Pelodiscus sinensis: one gene and its partners. The protein of the gene in region 1 interacts with the protein of each later gene in a pairwise test. Links are inferred from orthologs where the notes say so. Each region holds a gene or a part of one and is shown in the gene's direction. Other genes may lie near its edges.

The links.
Region 2: the proteins of NIF3L1 (region 1) and BEND7 interact in binary tests that used the Homo sapiens proteins (3 or more experiments, as listed by UniProt). The two-hybrid records come from large-scale screens. The link is inferred for Pelodiscus sinensis from reciprocal best matches to the Homo sapiens genes NIF3L1 and BEND7.
Region 3: the proteins of NIF3L1 (region 1) and DHPS interact in binary tests that used the Homo sapiens proteins (3 or more experiments, as listed by UniProt). The two-hybrid records come from large-scale screens. The link is inferred for Pelodiscus sinensis from reciprocal best matches to the Homo sapiens genes NIF3L1 and DHPS.
Region 4: the proteins of NIF3L1 (region 1) and DMC1 interact in binary tests that used the Homo sapiens proteins (3 or more experiments, as listed by UniProt). The two-hybrid records come from large-scale screens. The link is inferred for Pelodiscus sinensis from reciprocal best matches to the Homo sapiens genes NIF3L1 and DMC1.

The regions. Positions count from the first base shown.
Region 1 is NC_134717.1:73,550,004-73,557,283, forward strand, and holds the start of NIF3L1 (NIF3-like protein 1), read left to right. Parts: upstream 1-4,278; 5' UTR 4,279-4,408; intron 4,409-4,594; exon of another isoform or gene 4,595-4,627; intron 4,628-4,693; exon of another isoform or gene 4,694-4,716; intron 4,717-4,750; exon of another isoform or gene 4,751-4,930; intron 4,931-5,149; exon of another isoform or gene 5,150-5,389; intron 5,390-5,876; 5' UTR 5,877-5,878; coding exon 5,879-6,320; intron 6,321-7,280. Other genes in the region: PPIL3 (peptidyl-prolyl cis-trans isomerase-like 3), read right to left, coding at 1,383-1,385. UniProt on the Homo sapiens protein: May function as a transcriptional corepressor through its interaction with COPS2, negatively regulating the expression of genes involved in neuronal differentiation.
Region 2 is NC_134711.1:14,014,464-14,021,948, reverse strand, and holds the start of BEND7 (BEN domain-containing protein 7), read left to right. Parts: upstream 1-4,467; 5' UTR 4,468-5,067; coding exon 5,068-5,128; intron 5,129-7,485.
Region 3 is NC_134729.1:13,363,454-13,371,064, forward strand, and holds the start of DHPS (deoxyhypusine synthase), read left to right. Parts: upstream 1-4,606; 5' UTR 4,607-4,763; intron 4,764-5,136; 5' UTR 5,137-5,141; coding exon 5,142-5,345; intron 5,346-5,917; coding exon 5,918-6,082; intron 6,083-6,321; coding exon 6,322-6,443; intron 6,444-6,864; coding exon 6,865-6,961; intron 6,962-7,401; coding exon 7,402-7,488; intron 7,489-7,611. Other genes in the region: FBXW9 (F-box/WD repeat-containing protein 9), read left to right, coding at 201-314, 942-1,031, 1,550-1,615, 2,005-2,079. UniProt on the Homo sapiens protein: Catalyzes the NAD-dependent oxidative cleavage of spermidine and the subsequent transfer of the butylamine moiety of spermidine to the epsilon-amino group of a critical lysine residue of the eIF-5A precursor protein to form the intermediate deoxyhypusine residue.
Region 4 is NC_134711.1:91,668,874-91,676,077, forward strand, and holds the start of DMC1 (meiotic recombination protein DMC1/LIM15 homolog), read left to right. Parts: upstream 1-4,198; 5' UTR 4,199-4,742; intron 4,743-5,389; exon of another isoform or gene 5,390-5,595; intron 5,596-7,204. UniProt on the Homo sapiens protein: Participates in meiotic recombination, specifically in homologous strand assimilation, which is required for the resolution of meiotic double-strand breaks.

The DNA.
Region 1 (7,280 bases):
CGTGGAGCCAGCACTCACGGTGAGCTGGCTTAAAAGCTGGTTCCCCGCACGTATTGGCTCCCGCCTGTCCCGTCCCCCCCACCTTCTGCACTGCTGCCTCTCTATCAGCCCACAGGCACCAGCTCCTGCCTCCCCCCCACTTGCTGCGTCTGATACAGATGCAGTGTGGAAGGGAGTGGGGGAGGAGGATGCATGTAGTCAACAGGATTAACCCAGGCTTATCGGTTAATTGTGTAGTCATCTGTGCGCCGACATCCTGATCAGCTACATATATTTTTCATCTCTGTGAATCAGACCAACTTTCTCAGCTCAAAGATGAGAGTTAAAAATAGCCTAGTCGGTCATATTTTGGCACACCCATGCTGGTAATCCAAGTTCCTGCCAGTTTCATTTCATGAGATGGTAGTACATGCACTGTCAGTCTACAGTAGAAAGGAACAAGTGGCAGGTTGAATTAGCACTGATAAACTGCAAAAAGTGTCCTTGTATAGTCCTGCCTCAGAAAGATGGTGGCTGCAAAATTCAATTTTCTCAGTGATGTGAAATATGCAGTTAAAGGGAGAAAAAAAAACAATCAATAGTGTTAATTCACAAGTCAGTTTGTGCTCTAGATTATTCACAATGTATGTTATGTGTATTAGAGGGAATGCAGATTGCTTATTTTCAAAACCTCAATGGAATATACATGAGTTTTCACACAAATGGGTGTGCTAGCTGTTCAATAGCTAAGACACTACCATACCTCTCTATACCCAGTTTACAAAATCACAGCATTTATACTGAAAGATTTACATTAATGTAGGGGAAAAGGATCACACTTGCTAGTAGATACAGAGACATTTACAGAAAAGGATTACAAAACTAGTGTTCTGTGTTGCATGTTTTCAGTACTTTACATAAAAAGAAAACAAGACAATTGGCTGAGATCTCTATGGAGCCACAATAAAAAAAATATCTGTATATTGTTTGTGAAATGAAACCTTGCACTGAATTTCCTGGATTTATTTTTTTAATTTTTTTTAAACCCTAACTTTATCAAAAGGGTAATAAGTACTTAATCCAGATATGTATTTAAAACCTTAACACATTTTTCATGTGGGAACAGAGACCAAATTAAATGACCAAAAATCATTACCCAAACTGGAATCTGAATGTAGTGTTCTAGGAGCAAAACCTAAACTCTCATGAAATAGTAGAACTGACGTATTCCCTTTTCCACAGCACATTGGACACAAATCAGTGAAATGGGAAGCTGACCTTTTATATCACAAATTCTTTACAATAAACTGAATTGTGAAATTATTTGGGTGCAGAGCTGCGGTCCAGTTCTCAATACTGAACTCCCAAAATATAACAATATATCTAAAAAGTGCCTGACTTACCATGCTTTTTTTCTAGGAGTCCAATGCAGACAGGTCAAATGGTTTCCTGAAAAGAAAGCACATTTATTTTAGCTTTCTTCACCACCTCCTTTAAACATTCTAAAATTGGTTAGGTAGACAATGAAATTATTCTCATGATTACATTATGGATTTTTACAGTAGTGTTCAGAACAACATGTTCATAAGCATTTTATGTATATTACATAACTACGCGCAGAGCTAGAATTTAATAGAGCTCAAAAGAGTTAACATATTAATACAAATTAATATATTTTTATAAATGAATCAACAGCTAGAAAAAAATTCCATGTGATGGGAGATGGAAGAAATTGCAACTAAGGGCTATCAAGTAGGGATGTCAACATATAGTCGACTATAACCGATAAGCCTGGGCTTATTGGATAACCTCCACCCCATCTCGTTGCCTCTGTATCAGAAACAGCAAGGAGAGGGAGTGAGGTGGGAGATAAGTGCCTATGAGGAATCATTTTTTAAGTCAGCTCTCCACGAGCACTGGAGCACCAGATCCCACGGAATCGCCTATCCCCATCCCCCTCCATGCTGCTGCCTCTCTATCAGAGGCAGCAGCACATGGGGTGCAGGTGGGAGCCAATACACGTGGGGAGCAGGCTTTTAAGATGGCTTTCCGTGTGTGTTGGCTCTGTGGAGCCACTTGCCCTTCCCCCTTGCAGCAGCGCAGGCCTCCTGTGGACAGGGGGCTGCTGCATCTGTATCAGAGGCTACAGCGTGGGGCAGCAGGTGGGAACCAGTCTGCACGGGGAGACGGTTTTTAAACCGGCTCCTCTCATGGACTAGTTCCTACCTGCCACTCCACACTTCTGCCTCTGATACAGTGGCAGAAGTGCGGATGGCAGGTGGTTGTATGGGAGTGGGACTGAGAGCATATTGGTTGCTGGCCCCACCCCTGGGGATTATTAAATATTCATGTAATAGCTAAAATTTGATGTGGTTACACAATTATTCAATTACTGTACGTTGTATCTAACATCCCTATTATCAAGCAATTAAAAATAATTGTGATTAATTGCACAGGTAAACAGTAATAGAATACCATTAATTTAAATATCTGTGGATTTTTTCTACATTTTCAAATATATTGATTTTTATTACAATTCAGAATAAAGTGCACAGTGCTCAATTTTATATTTTTATTACAAATATTTGTACGGTAAAAAACCCCAAAAGAATTAGTATTTATCTATTCACCTAATACAAGTTCTGTAGTGCAGTCATGAAAGTTGAACTCTCAAAAGTAGAGTAACGTACAATCGCCTCCCTCCCGCAACTGTAGACCATAACCCTATATTTTCCCCTAAACCTTGCCTGCAGCTTGTATACTTTCCTAAACCTTTTAACTGTTTTACTCTGTTTTAGCAGTAATGCAAGGGGCCTACAGAAATCTTATTTTTGTAAGAAGTTAGCTTTGGCAATAGAGTTGGTTATAAGTAAGAATTACAGAATATAGCTTATTAGTGAGTGTGGAAATTTCCAGTCTTGTTGATAAGGCCAGGTCAAAACCACAAAGAGGGCTCGAGTGCTAGCGAAGAACAAAAATATACGAAACATGTCCTGTTTTACCAAGTCAAGAGGTGAACAATATATAGTAATTTTTAGAATATTCAGTGTCTTGCCCATTTTTGGATGAGATGTATTCTCTCCAATCAAATGTGTGCATGCTCAAATCTTGTGTGAAAATCTGCATTTGGTTTGGCTATTGGTGATGTAAAAATGCCTATAAAATGCTATCAATGCTCTCCCTGAGGTCGACGGTTCTCCTATCTCTTCTTGCCTTTCATACTGTCCTTTACTGTACTAGTACACTTATATTCTCTGCTACCATACCTTCTTATCTCTCACTGAGACCCCCGTTCCATCTGTGGAGAGAGGCTGGTTCCTTTGTCTCCTGAGGGTCTTCACTAAGGTATAAATATGGTGTTAGGCTAGGTAATTGCCATTGAATACTCAGGATATATATTTAGTCTTTGTTACATTTATATTGATGCTGCAACGTGAGGCTATCACATCCATTTATGCGACTGTCACCTTAAGTTTCTTATTGGGGGTAATCATAACATTCTTTACATTTCTCAGTTTCTTTTGCCAATGGTGTACGTGTCTTTACTGCTGCAGTTCTTGAAATCTGACTCCTGACATAGTCCATCCCACTCCTAGCCAGACTGCCTATGACAGCCAAGAGAAATCCCCCTGCAGCAGCTCCTGGCGGACAGAGGAGCTTTTCATTCCATGCAGCTCCCAGCCAGGGGGTGAGGGAGTTGGAGAGACTGAAAGTGTGAGCTACAGCTGTGCTAAGGCAGCAGGCAGAAGACAGTCCACCTGAGGGGGAGGCGAAGGGGGCTGAAAGACTGAAACCAGGGAGAAGGGGCTGAGAGAAGAGAGACAAGTTCTGGCTGGAGAAGAACTCCAGTAACCATAGTGTCTTTTTAAAAAGGAATCCAAGGATTTGAAACCTGACATGTCTGACTCTGAACCCTAGCGCGGGGGCTGCATTGACACCCTGACTAGGAGAGATGCCTGTTCCCACGCAATTTCTAAAGGTTCCAGACAAATGACTGCCATTAGGCTTTACAATCCGGCACTGAAAGCCATTAAGGGCGGCCCCAGATCCCTGTTTCCTATTGTAGTTTCTTGGTTCTTCAGCGTGCCGAGTGACTCACAAGTAAAAAGTAACAGGCTCACTTGGGATTAGCACGGGCAGGGCGCAGACCTTATTTACAGGGCCAGGCTTTTCCAGCAGGGGCGCACACGCCATAGCAATGTGTCACCGCGCTGCTTCCTGTGGGGGAAGGTTACCCAGGAAGCCTCCTGTGATTTTTTTGTGTGTGAAATAGTGAAACCAAGAAACTCCCCCCCCCCCCCCCCCAGGACGCTGGTGTGTAACATGTGGGGCCCACACTGAGCCAGCCGGCTCCCCTGTCCCTGCTAAGAGCGGCGCGTGCAGAGCAGGGTTATTTCTGGCAGGGCAGCAAGGGCCGCACGCAACTGACGTGAGTGTGACCGCTGCACCCGAGTGACCACCGCGGGGACCAGCCCCCCCGGCAGGCAGGGAGTCTGGAAGCCAGGCTGCACGGGGCCTGTCGGGGGCTTTGCAGAGCTGGGGGGGGGGGCGGGAGGCGCCGCAGAGGGACTGGCGCCCCGGGGCTGAGGGAGAAGGGGCCCAGCCGCCCGCTCACCTGTTTCCCGCGCTTTGCAGAGCTGGGGGGGGGGGGGAGGCGCCGCAGAGGGACTGGCGCCCCGGGGCTGAGGGAGAAGGGGCCCAGCCGCCCGCTCACCTGTTTCCCGCGCTTTGCAGAGCTGGGGGGGGGGGAGGCGCCGCAGAGGGACTGGCGCCCCGGGGCTGAGGGAGAAGGGGCCCAGCCGCCCGCTCACCTGTTTCCCGCGCTCGCAGCGGAAGGCGCCGTTCCCAGAGCGACCAGGCCTGCGCGGGGCGGGGCCGCTTTCCCGTGAGGCGCTGCCAGCTCCACCGAGGTAGGTGCGGGTCCCTGCCTGCCTGCCTGCTGGGGGGCTCCAGAGCGAGAGCGGCCAGTGTCTGGGGCTCCACAGCGCCCATCCCCGTGGCGCCTGGGCTGCAAGTGTTCCCGGCCGCGCCCCCCCCCCCCCCCATAGCTTCTTCCCGGGCTGTGCTCCCTGTTGAAACCCGGCTCCCCAGGCCCTTAGGGGCCAGTACAGCCGTGGCCGAGCCTGCCCCACCCCCAGACTGCAGCGAGCGTGTGGCGTGTGGCGGTGGGAGAAGGGAGTTACGGTGGAAGAGGCAGTCAAAGTCTGTTGGTCAGGCGGGGTTTGCAGAGCCAGCCTGGAGCTTTGCGGAGACACGGAGGGAGGGCTGCCCTGCCCGAGTGGCTATTTGAATCCGCACTAGGCTCCCACGTTCGCTTGGGTTTCAAGTCAGGCCCGGTTGTTAGTATTTCCCTCTCTCCCGCGTGCAGCATGGATCAGTGTTGGAGAGCACGTAGCAATTCTTGTTGCAGGTACAGTCTGATGATCTTCACTCATGCGGACTTGTCTCCAGTGTATCCTGTTCATCCTTCTGTCTGATCCGTCTGTTCTTTACCAGAGTTTCACCATTGTGCTTGATACTGCAGCTGGGCTTTCCAGTCTCAAATTGCCAAGGCCCTTTTACAAATTGGAATCATCCAGTCATCTGTTACAGAGACTGATTTAAGCAATAACTTACCTATTACAGTTAGTAGTTCTTCAATTTCATAACCAAGTTCTTCAGAACTCTTGGATGAATGCCATCTGGGCCTGCTGACTTATCACTTTAATTTATCAATCTAATCCTCCTTTATTGCCATCTCTGTTGACAAATATTGAATATGATGCCCACGTGGAGGTGTTATGCACCTGGGTTGGACATTGGCCAGTCTAAATGCTCGGACATTGGTGTTTAACTCAGAATTGTCTTACATTTCTTCCATATCCCCCAACGCCTCTAATTATGTTTTGCCCCTCTAGATATGTGCATGCTGCTGTCCTGTGTGCACCTGATTCACCAACCTCTCCGGCGCATCCAGTCTTGGTTTGTCTTACCTTCACGCTCCTTCATGGATCTAAAAGCTCTAGTTTCCTCTTTGAATGACTTTGCTTCTCTCTCTCTGGCTGAGAGTTGGGACAATGTAGGACTACTGGTAGAACCGAGCCCACCCCATTCTGTGAGCACGCTCTTCCTAACTAATGACCTTACAGAAGAAGTAATGCAGGAGGCATTGCAGAAGAAGGCAGATCTTATACTTTCTTATCACCCACCCATATTCCGAGCACTCAAGCGCATAACATGGAACACCTGGAAAGAACGTCTGGTGATCCGGGCTTTGGAACACAGAGTTGGCATTTACTCTCCACACACAGCCTATGATGCTATACCTCATGGAGTCAATAACTGGCTAGCCAAAGGACTTGGTGAGATACTCCTTTTTTCAGCTGTTACAGGTTGAACCTCTGTGGTCCCACATGATTTTAGTTAGCAAGATGTCCACTTAAGCAGTAAGCCAAGTTTCCCACAGTCCCATAAAATTTGTTTACAGCCACCAGTCCTGATTCTCAGTGTTCTGTGCTGGTACTTAGTTCTAATTTACCCATAAGTGTCTTCTAAGAGCCCAGTAAGCAGTGGAAGTGTTGGTAATGTTGCTTGTCAATATTGACCTCCCATGGTCTAGCAAATTCTCTGGTTTGGCACCAGTCAGGTCTGAAAGATGCTGGACTAGAGAGGTTCAACCTGTAGTCAGTTTCAATTACTCTTTATCAATATAGTATAAGTCTATGGGGAATGTCTTTATCAATTTTCCCATGTGTTTATGTGCACAATTTGAGATTGAGTGGTGTGGAGAGGGTGAATAAAGAAAATTTATTCATTAGTTCCCATAATATAAGGACTAGAAGACACCAAACTAATGTTTAAAACTAAGGTTTAAAACTAATAAGGGAAAGTTCTTCTTTACACAGCGCATAGTCAACCTGTGGAACTCCTTACCAGAAGAGACTGTGAAGGCTAGACCTATAACAGAGTTTAAAGAGAAGCTAGATAAATTCATGGAGGTTAGGTCCATAAAAGGCTATTAGCCAGGGGAATGGTGTCTCTGGCCTTTGTTTGTCAGAGGCTGGAGATGGATGGGACGAGACAAATCGCTTGATCTTTGTCTTTGATCCACCCCCTCTGGAGCACTTGGTGCTGGTCACTGTCAGCAGACAGGCTACTGAGCTAGATGGACCTTTGGTCTGACCCAGTACGGCCATTTTTAGGTTCTGATGGTGCAAAGATGAAATCTATCAGTGAATCAGAGGCACTCAGATACCATTGATGAGGATCAAAAAAATAAAAGTATTGAGGAATATGTACATTTTTAGCTGACAGTGTAACAA
Region 2 (7,485 bases), on another chromosome or scaffold:
GGAGCATCAGGGCTGAGGAGATGATGGTGCACATCACAGAGGACAGTGAGAGGGGAGGCACATAAAGGGTCAATGAGGTGACATGTAATTGGCCACTGCAGTGAGCAGCCAGTGCTGGCTGGAAATGAGTGGGGGTTAGAGGGGAGCCTGATGGCCCAGAGCTGGCACACAGTAGAGACTCCACTGATGGACCATCAGTGGGGACTGGCCAGCCTTGCACGCTGCAGCTTTGCCCAACCACCAGTCTTGTACATCCACCCTATCATCAACTACTTGATCCCCACCACTTATCACTGGCCTGTGGTTGGCTGGCTAGCAGGAATTCAAAAAGCAGTAGGACCTACCAGCACTGATGAGAGGGGAGAGACAGAAAATAAGGGACAATTGCAAAGGGGGGGACAGAAGGGGTACTTCAAAGTGGCAGCACTGCACAGTGGCACCACTACTTTGAAACCCCAAGGTGGCATTTCAAAGGCGCAGACGCTGCACAGATGATTTGCAGATCAGCTGTGCGACAGCTGCCCCTTTAAAATGCCACTTCTGTGCTTTTCAAAGGAGCAGCTGGGGAGCCCAGGGGTCAGCTGGGGACTCCCAGTTGATCCCGGATTCCACGCGGAACTTCCCCGGAACCTGGGATCAGCTGGGGAGTCCCCAGCTGATTCTGGGTTCCACATGGAAGTGCCACGGGGAGCCCAGGGTTAGCTAGGGAGTCCATAGCTGACCCCGGGCTCCTAGCAGCATGAAGCATAGCATGGAGCTTGGGGTCAGCGGGGGACTTTGAGTCCCCTGCTGACTCTGGACTCCATGGCTTTGAAATGCACAAGAGCCCCTGCTGGGGACTGTTGTGCATTTCAAAGCAGGCACAGCTGTGTGCGGCCCGGAGTCAGCGGGACTTCCCGCCAGCCCTGGGCTGTACGTGGTGTTCCATATTCCTCCTTGGAACTCTTGTACATTTCAAAGGAGGAATGAAGAAGGCCTATCAACTAGTCAATGGACATTCCATTGACTAGTCAATTAACCGCATTTTAATATCCTTAGTTGGTCTAGTTGTGATCAAGGTAGTTTTATTGTGTGGTTTGGTTTGAACTGCTCTGTGTAAATCTATGCCTCCCCTCCACATTTACTATCTCGCATTGTGCCCAGAAACTTTTCTCTGTGTTTTGTTTTCCTTACTTGCTCTGTAACATCTAGCAATCAAGTATGCCTTATCAAGTCTATCTTTTGTTTTCTAATAAAAATCACTTTTTTAAGGTGATAATTTGATTCTTGAGTCCTGAAAGGTCTGTTTGTCTGTGTATTTGCATGCCTCTGACTGAGAGGTCAGCTACCAGAGACTGCAGCTTATTTTTCTATTTTCTTTTTTCAAGCTCTTTTGGGAGCTTAGAGTACCCCGGGGGTGGGTTCAAGTGTTCACCTCCAGTTTTAGGGATAAAAAATAACTTGATGGTGGCAGTTTGTTTACTTCTCAGAGCCAGGGAATCTGTGACTCTGGGAAGTTTTGGTAACCAGTGCCTGTAGAGGCAAGGTTTTTAAGCTCTCTCGAGGGCCCTCACCTTCTGCACTTGGAGTGCCAGAGTGGGGAACAGCTCTGACAAAGGGTCACATGCCCCTTAATGCCATTGGGAGGCAAGCGACGAGCTGCCCGCAGGCAGATCCTGATTTGTCCAACCGCTCTAGGCCCTGCGCTTGGGAGACCCTACAGGGCCCAGGCAATCTGGAGCACTGGTGGGGTATGATGCCAGCAGCAGTGGTTGCTCCCCCCGCAGCAGTAGAAAGTAGAGCAACCTGCCACCAGCCTATACTGCTCCCCCCTTGGGGAAGGGGAAGGGGAAGGGAAGGGTTGGAACTGCTCCCCATACTCATCCGCAGTGTGAAGTGGAGGGACATGTGTGGAAGCCAGATGAGTGGAGTGGGCTGGATCACTCCACTTCCCATGCATTCACTTGTGAATGCAGTGTGTGTGTAAACCAGGGAGAGCTTCTCTTCTGAAGAACTAGGTAAGCTCAAAAGCCTGTCTTTCTCCAGCAGAGGTTCATCCAATAAAAGATACTACCTCATCAACCTTGTCTCTTTAATACTACAGTACACAGCTTTTAGCGACATGGCTGTGTCACTACAGCTGTGTCACTAAAAATCAGGCAGTATAGCCAGTGTTTATTGGCTCTTTTGCTGACAAAATGCTTCCACAGCCAGCAAGTAGCATTAACTTTATTGGCAGGACAAAGTGCTGTTCACACAGGCACTTGTTGGAAAAACTTGTCTTTCATGGACAAGAGGGTCATTTAACACCTCTGAATGACAAAAAGTTTGTTGTTCAGTTGTCAGGATAGACTTAGCCTTAGACCATGATACACTACAAAATTATGTCAATTTAATTGATGCTGCCACACAGCTACTACAGTTACTAAATCACGTGGGCTACGTCTACACTGGCATGATTTTCCGAAAATGCTTTTAACGCAAAAGTTTTCCATTAAGAGCATTTTCGGAAAAGCACGTCTAGATTGGCAGGATGCTTTTCCGCAAAAGCACTTTTTGCGGAAAAGCATCCGTGGCCAATCTAGACGCGGTTTTCCGCAAAAAAGCCCCAATAGCCATTTTCGCGATCAGGGCTTTTTTGCGGAAAACACTACTGTGCTGTTTACACTGGCCCTTTTGCGCAAAAGTCTTTTGGAAAAAGACTTTTGCCCGAACGGGAGCAGCATAGTATTTCTGCAAGAACACTGATGATCTTACATGAGGTCGTCAGTGTTCTTGCGGAAATTCAAGCAGCCAGTGTAGACATCTGGCAAGTTTTTCCGCAAAATCACATGATTTTGCGGAAAAACTTGCCAGTCTAGACACAGCTGTGGATTCTTGCATCAGTGATGCATGTTCTCACCAGGAATGCTTGTATCCATTGTATTGTCAGTGTGGGGCATTGTCGGACAGCTCCAGAAAGCCAGTGATAGTCATCATAAGCAATTTGTTGATATAATTACATCGTGACTCTGCACTGCTCAGGGAGGTGCTGTTATTAAATGGGTGTAGAAACATTTACATCAGTAGAAGCCAAATTTAAGTGACGAACACTTCCACAGCTAATTTGAGGCAAGGCAGGTTACATTAACCTACCCCGTAGCGTAGACCAGGCCAAATGCACTTAAAGTGACTTAACCTCCAGTGTGGATCCACTGGTAGCCAGTACTGGCATAGTTGTATCCCCATTAGGATGGAGGCATAATAACTATTCTGGTTTAAAAACCCAGCCCTCACCGAAATAGTTGTTCTGGTACAAATATGTATGCAGATGAGGCCTAAAAATGAAAATCAAGCAGAAGCATTCCTTGCTTTTAATTGAAGCCTGGTGTCCAGCAATGTTCCCGTAAAGATTTCCCATCTATGGCGGAATAAATTTTGTCCTGTGCACCAAGACATATGCAGATGTGTACCACCAACAGAAACACATGCTGCTGACTGCGGTCAGCTGTGGGCACTCTGCCAATCAACTGGGTGGCTGTCCAAGTGCTCTAGGGCTGTGTCTAGACTGGCAAGTTTCTCCACAAAAGCAGCTGCTACATTGCCAGCTGTCTACATTGGCTGCTTGAATTTCCGCAAGAGCACTGATTTCCTACTGTCTGAAATCAGTGCTCCTTGCGGAAATACTATGCTGCTCCCGTTCAGGCGAAAGCTTTTGCGCAAAAGGGTCAGTGTAGACAGCCCAGATTTGTTTTGCGTAAAAAAGCCCCGATCGTGAAAATGGCGATCGGGGCTTTTTTGCGCAAAAGCGCGTCTAGATTGGCACAGACACTTTTCCGCAAAAAGTGCTTTTGCGGAAAAGCATCCGTGCCAATCTAGACGCTCTTTTCCGCAAATGCTTTTAACGGAAAGCTTTTCCGTTAAAAGCACTGGTGGAAAATCATGCCAGGCTAGACGTAGCCTAGGTGTGTTCTGCTGGTCTGAAAGGGGTTGTCTTTGATCCACAGCCTGAACTTTACTTAAGATGGCAAATCCTTTTAGCAGAGCTGGGGGCATGGCAGGAGGCAGCACCTGACCCTCATTCTAGGCTGCGTGAGGACAGAGCCTGCATCTTCTGCCTTAGCACTGCAGGCCCTAGATTCCCTCCCCTCTCCTGAGGAAGTAGGGTGGGGTGTGCCCCGTGGGCGCACTGCAGGCAGCGCACCCTAGGCTGGGGGAACACGGCCCTGGGGGGGGGGGGACCCAATGCCACCAGTCTGCCTCACTAACACCCAGTTCTGGAGCCAGGCGGCGGCGCTGGCTGGCGCCCTGCGCCTGGGGCAAGCACCCAGCCCGGGGGGCGGCCCGCGGCTCCAGGGGGCCGCGGCAGGCGCCAGCTCGCGCCGCGCGCCTCAGGGGACCGCACAGGGGACGGGTGCACAAAATGGCGCCGCCCTTGCGTTCCCTTCCCCCTCCGAGAGTCAGATCCCGATCCCCCCCCCTCCCCGAGACCTGCCCCGCCCCGCCCGGCCGGCAGCGGAGGGGGAAGAGTCACCTCGCCGCCCTCTCCGTTCACTACCATGAGGCTGAAACCGCTCCCCCTCCCCCCCTCCCTTGGGGCCCGCGGCCGCCGCCGCCGCCTCGGCGTGGCGTGGGGCTGCGGGCCGGCCTCGGGGTGGCGGCCTGCGGGCCAGGCTCCCTCAGCCACCACGGGGCGCGCTGTGGTGCGCGCAAGCTTCCCCCAGCAGGTGGCAGCGGGGTCCCAGGCGCCGCTGAGGCAGCGCCACACGCCCGCCGCCGAGCGCTGCTTCCCTTGGCGGTGGTGGCGGCGGCTCCCGGGAGGCGGCCGGCGAGCTCCCCGCACGCAGCCGGGGCTTCCCCGGCACCTGGCGATCTGCCCCCCGCAAAGTTTGGGGTTGGCCCCGGGAGGTGGGGGAAGGGAGCCCGGAGCCAACTTGTCCCAAATCCCCGCTCCGCAGTTGGAACTGAAATCTCCCAGCCCCGGTTTATTTTTGCTGATTAAAGGGACGGACCTTGGTCCTGCGGCTGGGTGGCTGTATAGCCTCCCACTCGCTCTGTGCCATCCCCTTTCTCCTTCCTTTCTTCCTCCTCCTCCCTCCTGCCCACACCATGGAGTTTACGGAGAGGAAGAGGAGCAGGAAATCCCAAAGCTTTAAACTGATCAACCAAGGTAAAGTGGTGCCGGTGGGGGGTAGCGTGGTGTGTGACTTTTTGTTGTTGTTCATTTGTCTCTCCAAAGGACTTTCGGCTCAACGTAGCTGGCTTTCAAAGGAGAAGAGCAGGGTGTTATGAAATGTATGCTGCTTTCCCTTCCCTCTGTCTCCTTCAGTGTCTTTCTGTCTTTATGATTTAACTCCTTGGATTTGTTTTTAAACCCCCTCCCCAATGACAGCACGGTTTTCAAGGCAGATGGTCTCCAAAATAAAGTTGGATCGTAATTTCCTTGTAAACCCCGAGTTAAAAAAACGAAGCAGGAAATTAGTAAAATAATGGTACTTGGGGAACAGAGAAGAGAGCCCTTTCGGTATTCAACTCCTGTAGGGTTTTTTCCCCTGTTGATTGCGCACATACACGTATTTCAAATAAAACACTAATAGAGGTTGTTTTTCTTTTTTAAAAAGGCAACGCAGCCAATTAATTGTACAGAGATAAGGAAGAATTCCTGTCATGCAACTTGTTCGCTCATTATGTATTTGCTTTACGAAAAGAATAGGGTGATTTAAAAGGGATGGTAAAGACTTGTATTTATGTCGGGGGGAAACAGACCTTTCTGTTTAGATCTAAAAATCGTTGATGGTCATTTTCACAGGTGAGCTTTACAGCCTTAGTGTTTTATTTAGGTGGGGATGTGGACTGCTACTCCCACTGATTAGATCTTTTCCTCTCATTGATTTGACTTCCGTGTTTTAAAGTATTGAACTGAAATATCTCCATGAAAAGCTGTGTGTGTCCAGCATGCTAAGTTCAAGGCAAGTGACTTCTCTGGCATAATGTTACACACTTTTTCTTTAATGTGTCACACTTGGGCACTTTTAGGCATCCCTCTTCAGTCACTGTTGGATGAAAACAAATGGGAAGCAAAGGAATTTAAACATGAAAATAACTTTCGGGAAGCTAATGAAAAATATTCATTATGAGCATTGGACATAACATACTTTCTTAATCTAGAGGAATACTGTACTGTCAGGTCAAAATTGGCCAAAAATTAGTGTAGATTTTATAAAAGCAAGTATTTGCAAACATAAGGTCAGAAGAAATTAATCTGGGATTTAAAGTTCAAAAGGAAACTTTTTGAGAAACAAGTATTCTTCTGCACTGCTTATAGTATAAGCACTAGAACAGTGGTTCTCAATGTGTGGTCCATGGACTCCTGGGGGTCTGCGATAGTACTCTAGGGGGTCCACAGAAAACTTAGGAAAGGAAAAGTAAGGATTGGGCCACCACATGACTGGAGCTTTACGCCAAGTGATCCTCACCTGGGGCGTGCACACACTCTCCCCCCCCCCTTCGTTCCCACAATGGACCCCAAACCTTACTTTTCTTTTCCTTTTCTCTCCCGGGGCTCTGTGCCTGGCCAAGGGCAGAATGCCAGGGCAGGAGCTGCCTTTGGCCTTGAGAGCCCCCTTGCAGTATCCTCTGTGGATGGGCAGGGAATGAAGCAGCACAGATCAAGGGATGTGCTGGTTGCCCCTTCATGCCACTCCCCTTGGAGGTCCATAACATTTTAGCAGATTGAAAAGGGGTCCGTATGCTCGAAAAGGCTGGGAACCACTGTGCTAGAGTATGAGGATCTGAAAGTGAAACTGATTAGTTTGTATTTCCAAGTTGAGAAAACTGTTAGATGTGCAGAATAACTCAAATAGTCAAAAGTAAATTAATATTTTACAAGCATTTAGTCTTGACATGTCATTTGTAACATAGATTAATAATTTTGTAATAATACTTTTAACTATTTTTCACTGGTGATTTAGCTTGTGTTTCACTTGTGGGTTAGCTGTTTTTTGTCTGAGAACCCTTCTAAATTATAGAACACTAACAACACTAAATGCAATTTTGGAAAAAGTGGTGTTTTGATTCAGGGAGAACAGAGAAGATAAAAAATGTATTTTAGCAAAGTAAGATTCAGCTTTTATGTATGTCCCTCCTCATTTCCTATGCAAATTGATTACAAAGATCATTGAGTATAAATAGGTGTTTCCCTGCTACTCAGCTTTTGCTTCCTGCTTGAGTCATTCACTGTCAGAGTTTAATGTTTACTGTGAAGATATTGATAGTGATTTCAAAGCCTTGGACTAGGACATTGCAGACAAAAGAAGGGGGCCAAAGGAGACACCCACTGTATTGACTTATATTATGTAAATTATTGTCATTTTTACTGTATACTGTACACCCTACATCTTCTTTCATCCCACTGAATCTCAAAGCAGTTTGTCATCATAATGAAGTAATTCAGACTACTGTATATATAAAATTGTGTATTCTTCCACTGAAATGCAGAAACTGATACAGCAGTCAAGGACCAGTGAA
Region 3 (7,611 bases), on another chromosome or scaffold:
CGGGCGCTTCCGGGTCCGTCCTCAATCTAAGTCCCCCTGAAACCTGAGCCTCTTTCTCCTGTTCCACTCCACGTACTCCACCTGTCTATAAACATCGGTTCCCCACAGGGTCCCGAGAAACAGGGTGTTGTGAGATTTCCCCTTCCCCACCCGCATTGACCCGTCCGTGCCACCCTCTCTCTGCTCCTTTCTGCTTCCAGCTGGAATCCTACCTGCTCTCCATGTCCTACCAAGGGACGCAGCTGTGGGCCGGGGACAACCAGGGACTGCTCTACGTCTTTAAAAACAGAGGCGGCAGCTTCCAGCACAGCCGAGTACGTGAGCTAGGGCTTCAGGGGACCGGGCCTGTTTGTCCCCCTTTCATCCTGGGGTGAAATCTGGCTCCTGCTGGATGCTGCTAGTTGACTGCTTGTGACTTGGGCCTCTGAACTCAGCTGATGTCAGCTTCCTTGTCAGTTTCACTTAATGCCTGTCTTCCATTAGCCCCGTGCTGGCTGGGTCTCGGGTCCCCATGTCCTGGAGGGCAGGGGAAGGGGTCTCAATGCTCCTTGACCCCCCTCCCTCCCCTCCGCTGAGATGGCAGCTGATGGCACAGTGGGAAGGAGCTGACCTGGCCAGACTTTTTGTGCCTTTAGCCCCCATTTGTCTCGGTTCCCTGTTAGCATGGTAGTACCTCACGGGGGGGAGGGGGATCGTGACAGCTCAGACACTGTGGCGATGTGTCCACATGAATACCTGGTGAGGTACGAGCTGCCACCCTCAGAACCACTTTGGAGAGGGACCTGGAGGGTTGAGGTTGGGATGCGGAGAGTCCCTGGCATGGAGGAGACGGGTTAGGAACAGAGAGATGCTGGGATCCATGTGGGTTTGGAACAGGCAGGCCATGGCTTTCACCCCTGATGGGGCTTGCAGGGGGCTCATGGTCTCCTTCCTCCCCACAGTACTTCAACGTGGGTCACCGGTCCCAGATCACTGGGGTCTGGCACTCCCTGGGCACGCTGTACACGACCTCCACCGACAAGAGCCTGCGGGTAAGATCCAGGCTTGCCTAGCGGCCCTTCTCCACCACTCATGGGAGCCAGGAATGCCTGAGTCCTAACCCCAGCCTTGGGACGCTGGCTACAAGTTACATCCCTGCTCTGTGCCTCAGTTTCCCCACCAGGGGGTAGGGGCAGTGGCCCCTCTCGTTTTTCCATCTGTGTGCAGAATAAATGTTACAAATGCAGAGGCACATGCCGATGTGCACCACCCAAAAAGCCACAGGCTGCCAGCTGTGGGCGCTCTGCTCACCAGCTGGGTGTCACCTGGGCAGCTGTCCCAGGGCTCAGCTTCCAGGGGACACGGGAAGGGGTGATACCTGCTTCCTGCAGGGCTCTGAAGGTGTCTTGGGCCCTTGGTAGCCGGCCCTTGTCCTGGGGTAGCTGCACCAATGCAAACCCCCTAGTGCTGACACCAAAGTACCAGTGCCCCCCCCAAAACAGCACACGGAGAGGCTCCTCTGAGACTCACTAAGCTCTGTGCAACCTCCCCACAAGTCGTCTCTTTCCAGATACACGTTCCCACGGACCCGCCTCGCACTGTCTGCACACGGACACACAACAACGTGCTGAACGGGGTAAGGCAGCCCCGGGCCTCGGAATCGGGGAGGACAAGAGTGTCTGGGCATTGAGCGCCCAGCCACCTTGCGTGCTGTGCTCTAGCCGGGGGGAATCCCCGTCCCTGCACTCTCCCCAAGCCACACCTGGCTGACACGTCCCGTCCTGGCTTCCTTCCTGTGGCCTGGGCCCACGGCCACTCAGCTCCGCCCGGGGGAGCGCTCCCTTCTCCTTGCACACACGGGAGGGCCCCGCAGCCATGCTGAGCACTAGGACACCTTGTGGCTAAACTCGGAGCGGGGGCAGGGTGTACGTAGCAGGAACCCTGGAGCCGGCGCCCCGGGATCCTGGATTGACGTGGCCTCAGTCCCCGGTGCCTGTTCACACCCCCTCTCCCCCTTCCCCCCAGATCAGCGCGGAAGGCAACATTGTGGTAGCTGCTTCCGGGGGCCTGTCCTTGGAAATCTGGAGGCTCAACGCCTGATGGAGGCCTGGATCTGCGGAGCCGTGTGTTGCCGGGGGAGGTGCTGCGCCCGGCGCCCGACTGCCGGCCGGGGGGCCAGAGTTCCGGCGCCCGTTCGTCGGTCATTTGTTCCTTGTTCTTTGGAAGAGGCCCGAGGAGCCGCGAGGTCGAAGTTTCGCTGCCTGAGCTCACCCTGGCCTTGCTGTTCCCAGAGGGGTGGGAGCCCGGCCAGCCTTCCCCCGCCAGGTGCACTGCCTTAGCTCTCTGGCTCACGTTCTTCCCCTCCTGCTCTGGGCTTCTTAGCTGGCTGAACCCTGGCCTGATTCCCAGGCAGCCTTTGCTACTGATCTACCTGCCACGGTGCATGGGCCCTGGCTGCTCCTTCGGGACCTGTTCCAAAGGCCTCTGGGGTCACAGTGCAGGTGGGGCTGGGAGTGAGGGGTCAGTCCGCTGGACGGCGCCGTCGGGGGGCGCTTGCTGCTAAGGGCTGAGGAAGGCAGAGGCAGGGGCTGATCGACTGGCTGTGTAACCTAACGGGACTAAGTTTGACCCACGTGCTTATGTTGTTGATTAAAATATTCTGCCAGACTGGAGCCGAGTAGAGCGCTTGGTGGGTTCGTTATCCCCTTCCCGGTGCAGTCACAGGCACGCCGTGTTGGAAATTCCATCCTGGTCTCCTGGGAGCTCCAGACACGGCGGCTTTCTCCTCTCCCTGCCTCCCCACAGGAATTGCAAGAGCCAGAGTGAAGCACTGGGGGAATGGGCTATGGAGGCTTTATTGGGGGGTGGGGCTGGGCTGTGAACAGGGCCGTGAGCGTTTCACTGACGCCAGTGAGAGGGTCCCTGCGCCACCCGGGGCCGTTTGGACAAACACAGTGTGAGGTTTCGGGTTCTGGCCCAATCCCTGAGGCCCTTCCTGCCTGTGCACAACGAGCTGGCTGGGGCAGGCCCCTTCCCCAGCAGAACCGGCTGCTGTGGCTAACTGGGGTCCCTGCAGTGCGGGGCTGTATGTCTGTCTGCCCTCGCATTGTAGTAACCCTCTGCTTCCCAGCACCCCTCCTGGGAAATATGGGTGGGGAAACTGAGGCACGGGGGCACTGCAGCGACTGTTCCAGGCTGCCACTGACTCCCTGTGCAGACGTGGGCATCCTCCTTCCACCCGAGGGGGGGTTGAGAACAGAATGGGTAACTGAGGCTTCACTTCTGCCCTTCGTGCTCTTCTCCCATGAGGGTTTGCCAGCTGCCAGCCTGGCCCAGCACTGAAGTTCCCTGCAGTCCCTGAGGGATGGTTTCTTTGGGACCCAGAACAATCCCAGGCTGGCCCTTTGCTGTGGACACATGGCCTGGTTCCTTCCCCCCACCCTTGCATATGCCTGGAGCTGATGAAGGATTGCCGTACAGGGGGAGATCCTGGCCTGACCCCTGTCCTAGTGCCTGCCTTGGAGACCTGGGGGGGGTGGTCAAAAGGCAGGTGAGCAAAGTCAGAGGGTGGGCTGGGGAACAGGGACTAGTGGTTGGAGCAAGGGGTGGGAGCCAGGACTTCTGGGGTCCCCTCTCTGGGAAGGAAGTGGGGACTAGTGGTTAGAGCAAGGGAGGCCTTCCTAGAGATGGGTCCAGAACATAGGGGTCCTGCTTCCTAACGCCTGTCCTGGAAGGGGGAAGTAGGGTCTAGTGGCTAGAGCAGGGGCATTCTGGGAATTTGGGACTCCTGGATTCTCCTCCTGTCTTGGGGAGGCCCTGGAGTGTGAGTGCTTGCTGCTCACGTCCTTGCTCTGCCCCCTACTCTCCACTGTCCTTCCAGAGCTGTCAGCAGGGTGCCCCATCCTGGAATGGAGGAAGGGGTCAGGCACCTACTGCCTCCCTATTGCAGAGCTGACTTCACAGCTGTCCCAGGCAGTATCTGTTTTTCTGCTGGGCCCCCTGCCGGGCCCAGTCACCTGTGAAAGGAACATGCCGGCCCGATTTAGCTTCCACCTCCTGGGCAATTAGTGCTCCCTGCAGGACGGCTCCCTCTAATCCGTCCTGTGAACGGGCTGGAGGCCAGAACAGGCTGAACTCTGTGTGCGCCCTGGGCTGCTGCAGGGCTGGAACCCCCCCTCCACCCGCATGGACCAGCTGCCCTGGGCGGGGGTCTCGGGGATGGGACTCCCCACGGGAGCAGCAGCTGCACCTTTTCAGGCCTGTGTGATGCTGGGGAGCAGGGGGAGGTGGGGAGATCTGAGGTGGGCAGCCAGGACGCCGGTCTCGCCCCCATGGGCTGTAGGTTGGGTGAAGAGGGGGCCCTGCCAGTCCCGCACCAGCGGAACTCCCCGCTGCAGGACGACGCGGGGGAAGGCGGGTGGTCTCTATAGCGTTAACCGACGTGCTTTCGCTTATCGGTTAATCGATTCCGGATCCATCCCCGCCCGGGGTCCAGTGCGGGGCTGGCTCGGCTCGGACAGGCTGGTGTTTGAAGGGGCCTGGCGTAGGTGCTGGGCTCTTGGGTCGGAGGACACTTGACCCTGCAGGGCTCCCGTACGTGGCTTCTATTCAAGATGGCGACGCCCACGCATACGGTTCCCGCGCGGCGGCGCTCGAGGGGCAACATGGCGGCGCCCAGGCGTACGGACGCGGTCCTGACCCCGCGGGGCTGCCGTAGCCGGCCGGGCTGAACATGGCGGCGGCCAGGAGCGCGACAGCGGGGCGAGAAGGGCTCTGAGGCGCAGGTAGGAGCCGGGCGGGGCCTGGAGGGAGGGAGCGAGCGAGCGAGCGGGCGGGCGGGCGGGCGGGTTTTGTGGGGGCGGAGGGTTCCGTGGGGGGGTTCGTGTGGAGTTTGGGGGGGCTCGCTGGGGGGGGTTTCGTGGGGAGGTTCGCGGAGGGGGTTGGGGGGGTTCGTGGGGAGTTTGGGGGGGCTCGGGGGGGTTTCGTGGTGAGGTTGGGGGGGCTCGCGGGGGGGGGTTGGGGGGGTTCTCGGGGGGGGTCGTGGGGAGGTTGGTGGGGCTCGCGGGGGGAGGGGTGGCTGGGGGGGTTTCGTGGGGAGGTTCGCGGAGGGGGCTGGGGGGGGTTCGTGGGGGGGCTGACCCCGGCCCGTCTCCGCAGGCCCCATGGAGAGCGCGGCTGAGGGGTTCCCCGCCGCGGCGGTGGCGGCCGTGCTGAAGCCCAGCGCCGTCCTGCCCGAGGAGAGCCTGCGGGTGCGGGGCTACGACTTCGGGCGCGGGCTGGATCACCGGGCGCTGCTCCAGTCCTACCTCACCACCGGCTTCCAGGCCACCAGCTTCGGGCAGGCGGTGCAGGAGATCAACAGGATGGTGAGCGGGGGGGCGCGGGGGCGCCAGGACTCCGGGGCTCCGTGTCGCTCGCCGCAGGCAGGTCACTTCCCCGCTGCGAGGCCAGAGACCTGGGTGGGGGCCGGTGGCCTGGGCGTCTGCGCTCCCCGACCCAGCAGCCGGGCAGGCCCGTCTCTGCCAATACGCAGAACACCCAGCTGAGTGGGGCACCAAATTGCACGGTGCCCATGCAGCTGGGTGCTGCATATGGGCTGTAGCAGCCCCCTCCCCTGGCTGGCCAGCCCCCTAGCCCGTGGCTCTGTGGCAGCTCGGGTCCCATTCCCCAGCCAGGCCCCTGTAGGGTGGGTAGCCAACAGCTGGAGAGAAGCGGCTGTGTGGCTGTTCTTTGCTCCCCGGGCCCATGCCCCTGCGTCTCCCCCACCCTGCCTAGGGCTGCCAGCTCTCCCAACCAGACTCATTTGCAGCAGTGACGTTCGGTCTGGGAGAACTGGCAGCCCTCCCCCTGCCCCCACAGTCCCCTCAGTGCAGGGCTGTGTAGGGCATCAGCATGGATAGGGATGGCCCTGCTGATGTGGGGCTGCTCTGGTTCCCAGATCGCGGCGAAGCTGGAGCCTCTGGGGGAGGAGGAGGAGACCCGTGCAGACCTGAACCCCTGCCGCCGGCAGCCCTCAGGCTGCACCATCTTCCTGGGCTTCACTTCCAATCTCATCAGCTCCGGCATCCGCGAGACCATCCGCTACCTGGTGCAGCACAACATGGTAAGGCCCCTGCCCCCTCCAGGTGCTGAGCCCTGCTCCCGTGTCCCTCTGTGCCCTCTTGACACTAAGCACCTGCATCCAGAGGTGCCCCCGTATGTGTCAGGCTCTGCCACCCAGGCTGCTGTCATGGCCCCCCCATTCCCTTCACCCACCACAGAGCTGGGCTCTCCCACCTGATGAACAGTGGGAGGGCTCCCTGGGGTGGGGTTCTGACAGGCTGGGGTCCCTGTGCCATGCAGGTGGACGTGTTGGTCACGACAGCGGGTGGCGTGGAAGAAGATCTCATCAAATGCCTGGCTCCGACCTACGTGGGGGAGTTCAGCCTGCAAGGGAAGGAGCTTCGGGAGAGCGGGATCAACAGGTACAGGCGGGGCTGGGGTAACAGCTGGGAGGCAGGACTCCTGATTTGGGGGAGAATAGTGGCTAGTGGTTAGAGTCACGGGGGACTAGGAGTCAGGCCTTGTCAGTGCTTTAGGAGGAGAGTGCAGTCTAGTGGTTAGAGCAGGGGAGCCAGGACTCTCCTGGGTTCTGTCCCTGCTCTGGGAGTGGGGCCCAGGAATGAGAGGGGGAGGCTGGGCTCAGGAAATGATGCTCTAGAAGTGAAAGACGCTGTATTTGTTCTCAGCCCCTGGATCCATCCAGCCATGATCCTCTTTGTGCCCCCCCCCCCTGGGGATCAGGAAATGCCAGTGGTGTCCCTGTTCCTTGGGGTGGGAGGAGGGGCTGAGCCCAGCTGGGCTGGGGGGGGGGAGGGCTGGGGATGAACCTGCTCCTGTCTCCAGGATCGGGAACCTGCTGGTGCCCAACGACAACTACTGCAAGTTCGAAGACTGGCTTATGCCCATCCTGGACCAGATGGTCGCCGAGCAGAACATGGAGGTGAGGGCGGGGGGGGGAGGGGCTGCGGCTGTAGGACACTGGGAAGGTCTCTGACCTGATCCCTACTCAACCCCCTGCCAAAATACCTGGCATGTGCAGATGGGTGGAGGAAGGGGGCTGGGAGTCAGGGCTCCTGGGCTCTGGGAATGGAGTGTAGGGGAGGGGGGGTGTCCAGTGGGTTGAGCAGAAGGTGGGTGGGTGGGACACCAGGAATCAGGACTCTTGGGTCTTATACCTTGGGTGAGGCACATCCCTCTGTGACTCGGTTTCCCCATCTGCACCATAATGGGGAGAGCTGCCAGGTGGGGAGCTGTGAGGGTGGGCACCTTAACGTTGATAACGCCCCGCGGGCCCCAAGTCTCTGAGCTGGGGGGCAGGGCAGGGCTCGGGTCACTGCAGGGGGGCGCTTTCACTGCAGCTTTGGCCCTTGGGCCCTGCAGGGGGTGAAGTGGACCCCGTCCAAGATGATCGCACGGCTGGGCAAGGAAATGAACAACCCCGAATCGGTCTATTACTGGGCACAGAAGGTCAGTGGAGGGGGGTGGTCCTGTGCTTCAAGGGCGCTTCTGTTCATTCCCCCCAGGGTCCGGGCTAACCATGCCCAGGGTACAGCCTGGCTTAGCTGAACCCCCCCCCCCCCCCCGAGTGCC
Region 4 (7,204 bases), on another chromosome or scaffold:
AGACTTTCATCCTCTTTAAGAGCACTGGGGCTCTCAACCTGGGACAGTACTACAGTGGGACAGTACTACAGTGTCCCGGAAAGTCTCATCAACATATCTCTCTATGGAAAGCTCTCAGTAACAGAATAGGAAGGTTATGAAAACAAATGTGAGGAGGAAGCAGCTGAATAAAATGGGAGATGAAATGCTGTCTAATTGAAAAATGAATGGAATAAATTAGATTGGTCTTAAAACACAAATATTTTTCTACTAGATAATGTGAGTACTTGGGGAGCAATGCCAGGAGGGAGGTTCAGCCTTTTCCATCTCTGTTCCCACTAATGAAGATCCTCTGCTATTTTAATTCTAACTTCCCTGACATAAAGCTGACCTTAAATATCCTATGCTATTGTAGTCCTGAGCCTCCATCTCCCGCCCATCTACACACAGCTTTATCAGTTCATCTCAGTCCTAACTTATCTATGATGTCTTTGTTGCTTTACCAAAAGACAAGATTTTTTTTCTTTTACATTTCAAATTACTGAGTCCACTCCAACCTATGCAGATGTGATCCAACAAGGTTTTAATCATATCCGCCAGTTGGACAAAGCTTTCAAAACAGTGTACCAGAGACACCGCAGAGAAATAAAGGATTTTGACCAGCACCAGTTGAAAGAGAAGCAAGAATTCCTCAGGTACAAAAAATGTGTGTGGTTTCAATTTAACATATTCTGTAATAATCTGAACACATCCAGTGATTTATTGGTGTCTGCCAAAGGTGAAACCTATTGCCTGACATTGATTTCAGAGGGTGTTGGGGAATAAGGAAATATGGGGATATTTTTGTGGTGTAACATTAGCTAATTATTCCAGAGGGATACAGAGATGTAATGTGATGTTTTACTGATGATGCTTTAGATGGAATCTGTGAGCTAATGGTCAACCAAAGGAGTTTGAGAGTATTGTTTTGTTTTGGAAAAGTGATCTTGAATTTTGTTGAGGGTAACAGGGTGATTAAGGGCACGTCTACATTGCAGGGCAAAAGCTGAATTAAGATACGCAACTTCAGCTACATCAATTGCGTAGCTGAAGTCAAAATAGCTTAATTCAGCTTTTGGCGCTATCTACACAACAGGAAGTTGAAGGAAGAACACTCTTCTTTTGACTTCCCTTATTCCTCATGAAATGAGGGTTACAGAAGTCAGAGTAAGAAGTCCACCATCTCGAAATAATTTCAATATAACGGCTTGCTGTGTAGACATGTACTTTATTTCAAAATAACACCTGTTGTTTCAAAATAATGCTGCAGTGTAGACATGCCCTAAGAAAGTTGGCTTGGAGGGGGCATTACATGTTTATGGATTTGGGGATTCAAGGGTTAATTAACATCAATTCCAAAGTGGTGGAGAAATCCACTCTTAAAATTTCTTTGATTGCTTTGGTGATTTTAGAAATCTTAGTCAAAGATAGCTTTGAACAAGTTATTTTGATTTTTTCTCTCTCGTTGTCCTTCCCATACTACAGAAAAGAGAAGCAATTGCTGTCAGAGAAAGGAGAGATGAAGAAGCTGAATCAAATGCTGACCCCTCTTCAGTTCTGACAAGACTTCAAGTCTGTCACAGAAGTGTCTTTATGCAGAAACAGCCATAAATCAAGCTGCACTCTGAGCAAACCAGAATTCAAGATTCCCCGACCATAAATTGGCATAAATGTCCATTCAGACTTTCATTTGCATCTGAAGGGTGTATTTTAGGCAGCCCACTCCAAAGCTTTCTTCATCAATTAGAACAGACAAACCTGAAAAAATGGGAAGAACTGAGTTCAAAAGTCTGACTGATTTCTAATCTCTTTGATCTGTAAAACTGGACTGGAAAAATATCACAAGATTTCAACAATAGAAGTAATATGAGGATTAAAAAAAGTCACTGGAATATTTTTAATGGTTTCATAGTTTGGTTCTGTGTCAAAGATTTGAGCTGTTTTTTATTTTGTCTGAACTGTCTTGGCCCAAGCTGAAAGGCAGTGTAGTTGAGACTCAGTGCATCGCCTCTTGCCAACAATATGTGGTAATGGAGTTGGGCTGGCTAGCTGCAGACCTTCCCAGAAAGGAGGAAAGTTGCAGAAGGCTCCTCTGTGCTGGTGAACCCTGCAATGAATCCAATCCTGTGTCGAGTTTCCAGTGTATAAAATAGAATCCCACTCATTAGTGGTATGAGATTGTATAGCACTTTACAGCTTTGAAGTTCAAGTGCTGTAGATCAACATTATCATTTTAGCAGCACTTTTGGATGAATGGTAGCCTTTCCAGCTTGGTCAACTCATCTGCCTCCTAGAAGAGCCTGTCTATAAACAGGAAAAACAGGGCAAGGTTTGTCTTTTGGGTTTTTTGTTTTTAAATGGGAGGCTAAAGCTAAGCCTTGTCTACACAGGAAAAATATCATCTTTATTGGCATAATTTAGCTATTCCAGAATAATTCCTCCCCACACTATTGGTGCTACGTCTACACTGGCCCCTTTTCCGAAAGGGGCATGCTAATTTTCAACTTCAGAATAGGGAAATCCGCGGGGAATTTAAATATCCCCCGCGGGATTTAAATAAAGATGTCCGCCGCTTTTTTCCGGCTTGGGGAAAAGGCGGAAAAAAGCGTCTAGACTGGCCCGATCCGCCGGAATGAAGCCCTTTTCCGGAGGATCTCTTATTCCTACTTCGAAGTAGGAATAAGAGATCCTCCGGAAAAGGGATTTATTCTGGCGGATCGGGCCAGTCTGGACGCTTTTTTCCGCCTTTTCCCCAAGCCGGAAAAAAGCGGCGGACATCTTTATTTAAATCCCGCGGGGGATATTTAAATCCCCCGCGGATTTCCCTATTCTGAAGTTGAAAATTAGCATGCCCCTTTCGGAAAAGGGGCCAGTGTAGACGTAGCCTTGCAGAATAAAAGTGAACTTTTATTCTGGAATAATGTCCAGATGGGGAATATCTTATTCCATCTGGAAACAACAAACTGCAGCCAATGGGAGCTGCAAGGCTATGGACATGTAAAGTAAACAAAGCTGTGCAGTCCTGCCTCCCAAGTTTAGAAAATGCTGTCTTATTCCATAAAAGCTATGTAAAGCAATTCCCCCTCCCGCCGCCCAGGGTCTTAGGCTCCTAAACCCACATTCAGGTACCTAAATACATGGCTTGATTTTTCAAAAGTGCTGAGCACTCTCACACTCCCATTTAGGAAGATTACAATTTGCTTTTTCCATGTTTCATTTTCTGACATAGCAAATAACAGACATGCTTAAATATACCTCTGCACTATTGGGGACTGAGTTTGGGATTTTTCAAAAGTGCCTTGAAAGTTATTAGGATTTGTCCTGCTTCCACTCAAGTGGCTTCAAAAATCTTATCATAACTAAAGTCAGCAGCTTTGTTATACAGCCATTCCTTTTCTATAGGGATAGGGATATATGTTATGAAAATACTAGAAGGCTGCCCTGGCATTTCTTGGGTCCTTAACTCAATTAATTTGTTTTTTGAAAAATAATATGGTGGGATGATGGATGAGGGGTTCAATATGCAGGTTGAACTGGGGAGAGAGAACTACCCCAGTCTTCTCTCAGCACAGTAGCTTGGGGTCAGACAAGAAGCGCCTCTCTAGGGCTGCTGCAGCTCCAGCGGGCACAGCCGAGGGATGGGTGCATTTCCCCTGGCTGAGCTAGGTCTAGGTTCATCTGCCTCTTGTGTTTCCTAGCCAGAGTGAGGAGAGCAGCAAACTGTATACTTTCCCTGGAAGAAAAGCAAGCAATGTTCCTGTACAAATTGGGGGGGGGGGATAAAGATCCCACCCACACTAAAGGGTGGCTTGGGGGTGGGGCAGTCTCTGGGGGGTGTGCCCCCTGCTAACTAGCCACTTTCACCTGCCTGGTGCCTCCTTCCCACCCCAGGGCCAGCAGCTGCTCTCAACCCAGCGAGAGCCAGTCAGGGCCGGGGACAGCAAGTGATGGAGAGGGCGGGGCCTCGGGGAAGGGGCGGGGCAGATCTTGGGTGTAAAAAGATTGGAGACCACTGAGAACGCTTCAGTCAGTCTCTGTCCCTCCCGCCCGACTCTACCATTCTGGGCTGTGGAAGGGGGGGGGGAGGTCCGACACCGGATACCGATTCATAGCTTGAAACTCTGTCAGGGCCGCTGTACACGGATCGTTCCATTCGTGAGCAGCATCCGGCCGGGCGGGTGTATTTTAACCCAGGCCCTCAAACAGACCAGCGTTCTCCCGGCTCCCTGCCTTCCCCTCTTCCCCAGTGGTAGAATCCAACCTCTTTCTTCCCGGTGGTAGGGTCCCTTCGTAAACAGCTGTGGACGTCGCCGCTGTCGGTGACCACTGCGCGTGCGCGAGGCAGCGTTGTCGTGTCAGAGACTGAACTCCGGGTGCGCGCGCTCCCGGGCAATCGCAGACCTTCGCCTCAGCCACTTTTGGCGGGAAAGGGAGACGCGTTTATCCCCGGCCCGTCTGCAACGAACCGCCAGTAACGGCCGGGCGGGGCAGGTGATCTGAGACTGCGAGGCAGAGAGCGGCCAGTTCAGCTAGCGTCGGATCCAGCCCGACCTCGCTGCGCCTGGCCAGAGCCCGCGTGCCCCACACAGAGAAATAGCGCTACGGCCCCTGGGCTTGAACAGGAGATCGGCCTAGCAAGGGGGCCTGGTCTAGTTAGGTTAACCTGGCCCCCGCTGTACTGACAGCTAATTTTTCCATCCACATAGCGCCTGCCTCCTGGAGAGGTGGATTAAATACAGCAACGGGGAAACCTGCTCCTAACATAGGAAGCGGCTGTATTTCACCCTCGCTGTAATGGCGCGGTTGCTGTGCTGCAGGTGTTCCCTGACAACACGTAGGATTTATTATCCTGGAGGTGTGGAACTAAATATAAAGGGGCAATTACTCTGGTTAAGACTGGAGCACAACAGAAAAGATTCACACTTTTCCCTTGTCAAGACACTCCCACCCCTCCTCTCCCAACCCCACGTTCTCTCTCAACCTTCATTTCCCATCCTCACACCTTGCTCCATATTGCTCTGTGTGCTTGGGGCCCTTATCTCAGTGTGCCAGGGAACAATAATGCATGCCACACTTGTAAAAACAAAATACAGGACTATGTAGCACTTTAAAGACTAACAAGATGGTTTATTAGATGATGAGCTTTCGTGGGCCAGACCCACTTCCTTAGATCAAATAGTGGAAGAAAATAGTCACAACCATATATATCAAAGGATACAATTAAAAAAAATGAACACATATGAAAAGGACAAATCAAATTTCAGAACAGAAGAGGGTTCTGAAATTTGATTTGTCCTTTTCATATGTGTTCATTTTTTTTAATTGTATCCTTTGGTATATATGGTTGTGACTATTTTCTTCCACTATTTGATCTGAGGAAGTGGGTCTGGCCCACGAAAGCTCATCATCTAATAAACCATCTTGTTAGTCTTTAAAGTGCTACATAGTCCTGTATTTTGTTTCAGCTACACCAGACTAACACAGCTACATTTCTATCACTATTGTAAGGACAAAACATTCTTCAAGATCAGTTCGTCTTCTGGGTGCCTTTGTGCCTGATTTTTGGAGTTGGTCTGTGTAAGTTTTTGGGTATAACTCCAAGGTGGCTGGGGGGCAGAACCACATTACTATAGCAGAAGCACTGAAAGAAAAGGGCAGTGTTTCTACTTCTTCACTTCTGAACAGGGTGCATTATAATTCCCCCTACATTCCTTGCTGGCCAGCAGAAAGATACAGTTATGGCTCTTCTTACTCTGCCAATTTTGCATTGCTATGTATCCAAAGGGGAGTAGTCACCTTGCCCTTTTGAATGCAAGTAATGCAGTGCATTTCAAAAACAAGTAGACCTGTGGTACTTTAGGATATGTCTACACAGTAACATGTATCTTGAAATAAGCTACACAATTTGAGCTATGCAAATTGTGTAGCTTATTTCAAAATAGCTTATTTTGAAATTTGGTGCTGTCTACACAGCACTAATTTAAAAATAAATTGCTATGCCTGTATCTTCGTTAATCCTTATGCAATAAGGTTTATAGGAAGCTGGAATAAGAAACACATTATTTCAAATGAATTTCCAGATAGCAGGCATGCTGTTAAGACATGCAGAACGCTAGTTTGGGATAATGGACATTATTCCAAAATAGTGCCATTGTGTAGACATACCCTTAGGCTATGTCTACACTCGCGGCTTCTTGTGTGAGTAATATGCAAATGAGGCTAAGCGTGGAATATCGCTGAGCCTCATTTGCATACCTAATGAGCCACCTTTTTTTCAGAAGAGGCTCTTGCGCAAGAAGGAGCATCTACACTGCACCTTCTTGCGCAAGAAAAACCTTCTGGCACAATGCCGTTACACCTGTTACTTTTTAGGAAGAACGGCCTTGCGCAAGAAGGTGCAGTGTAGACGCTCCTTCTTGCGCAAGAGCCTCTTCTGAAAAAAATGGTGGCTCATTAGGTATGCAAATGAGGCTCAGCGATATTCCACGCTTAGCCTCATTTGCATATTACTCACACAAGAAGCCGTGAGTGTAGACATAGCCCTAGAGACTAACTATAGAATCATGAGCTTCTTCAAATGAGCTGGAGTAGAAATAACATAAACCAAGATATATAACAAAAAAAACCAAAAAAGTACTGGTCAATTGTAGGACTGGTGCTAATTAGGCTAATGAAATGGACTGGAAGTGTCCCATTCTTAGCCTTTGATGTAAAAATGCAGTTGTTAAAGGCAGAGGAGACTGGCTTTAACATGCAACGCATTTCAAGACAGGGAAGGGATTTATTTTTAGAAAGTGCAGAGAGGGGTTTTTAACATGTCCTTTGCCTTTTACATTATGTTTTTCTTCTTCTAGTATCTGAAGACAAAGGTCTAATTAATGTTACTTCAGGAAACACTTTACCGTTTGTTAGTAGTATGTTAAAGGAAAATGTATACAGATGACTACATTTTCATCCCTGTTCAGGTGTGATGAGAGGATAGTTTCATTTGTCCATAGGAAAGAAGTTCATTGTGGTACCATATGGAGATGTTTTGGGAAAAATTAATTTACAACTCATTTTAATATTTTATTAGAAAGTAAGATAAGTTACTCCATTTTATTTTTACTTCCAAAGAACTACCTCTAAAATTACACCAGGTTTTTTTTCCCTTATTTTTTCCCATCTTCTCTAACCAGCAAGACTC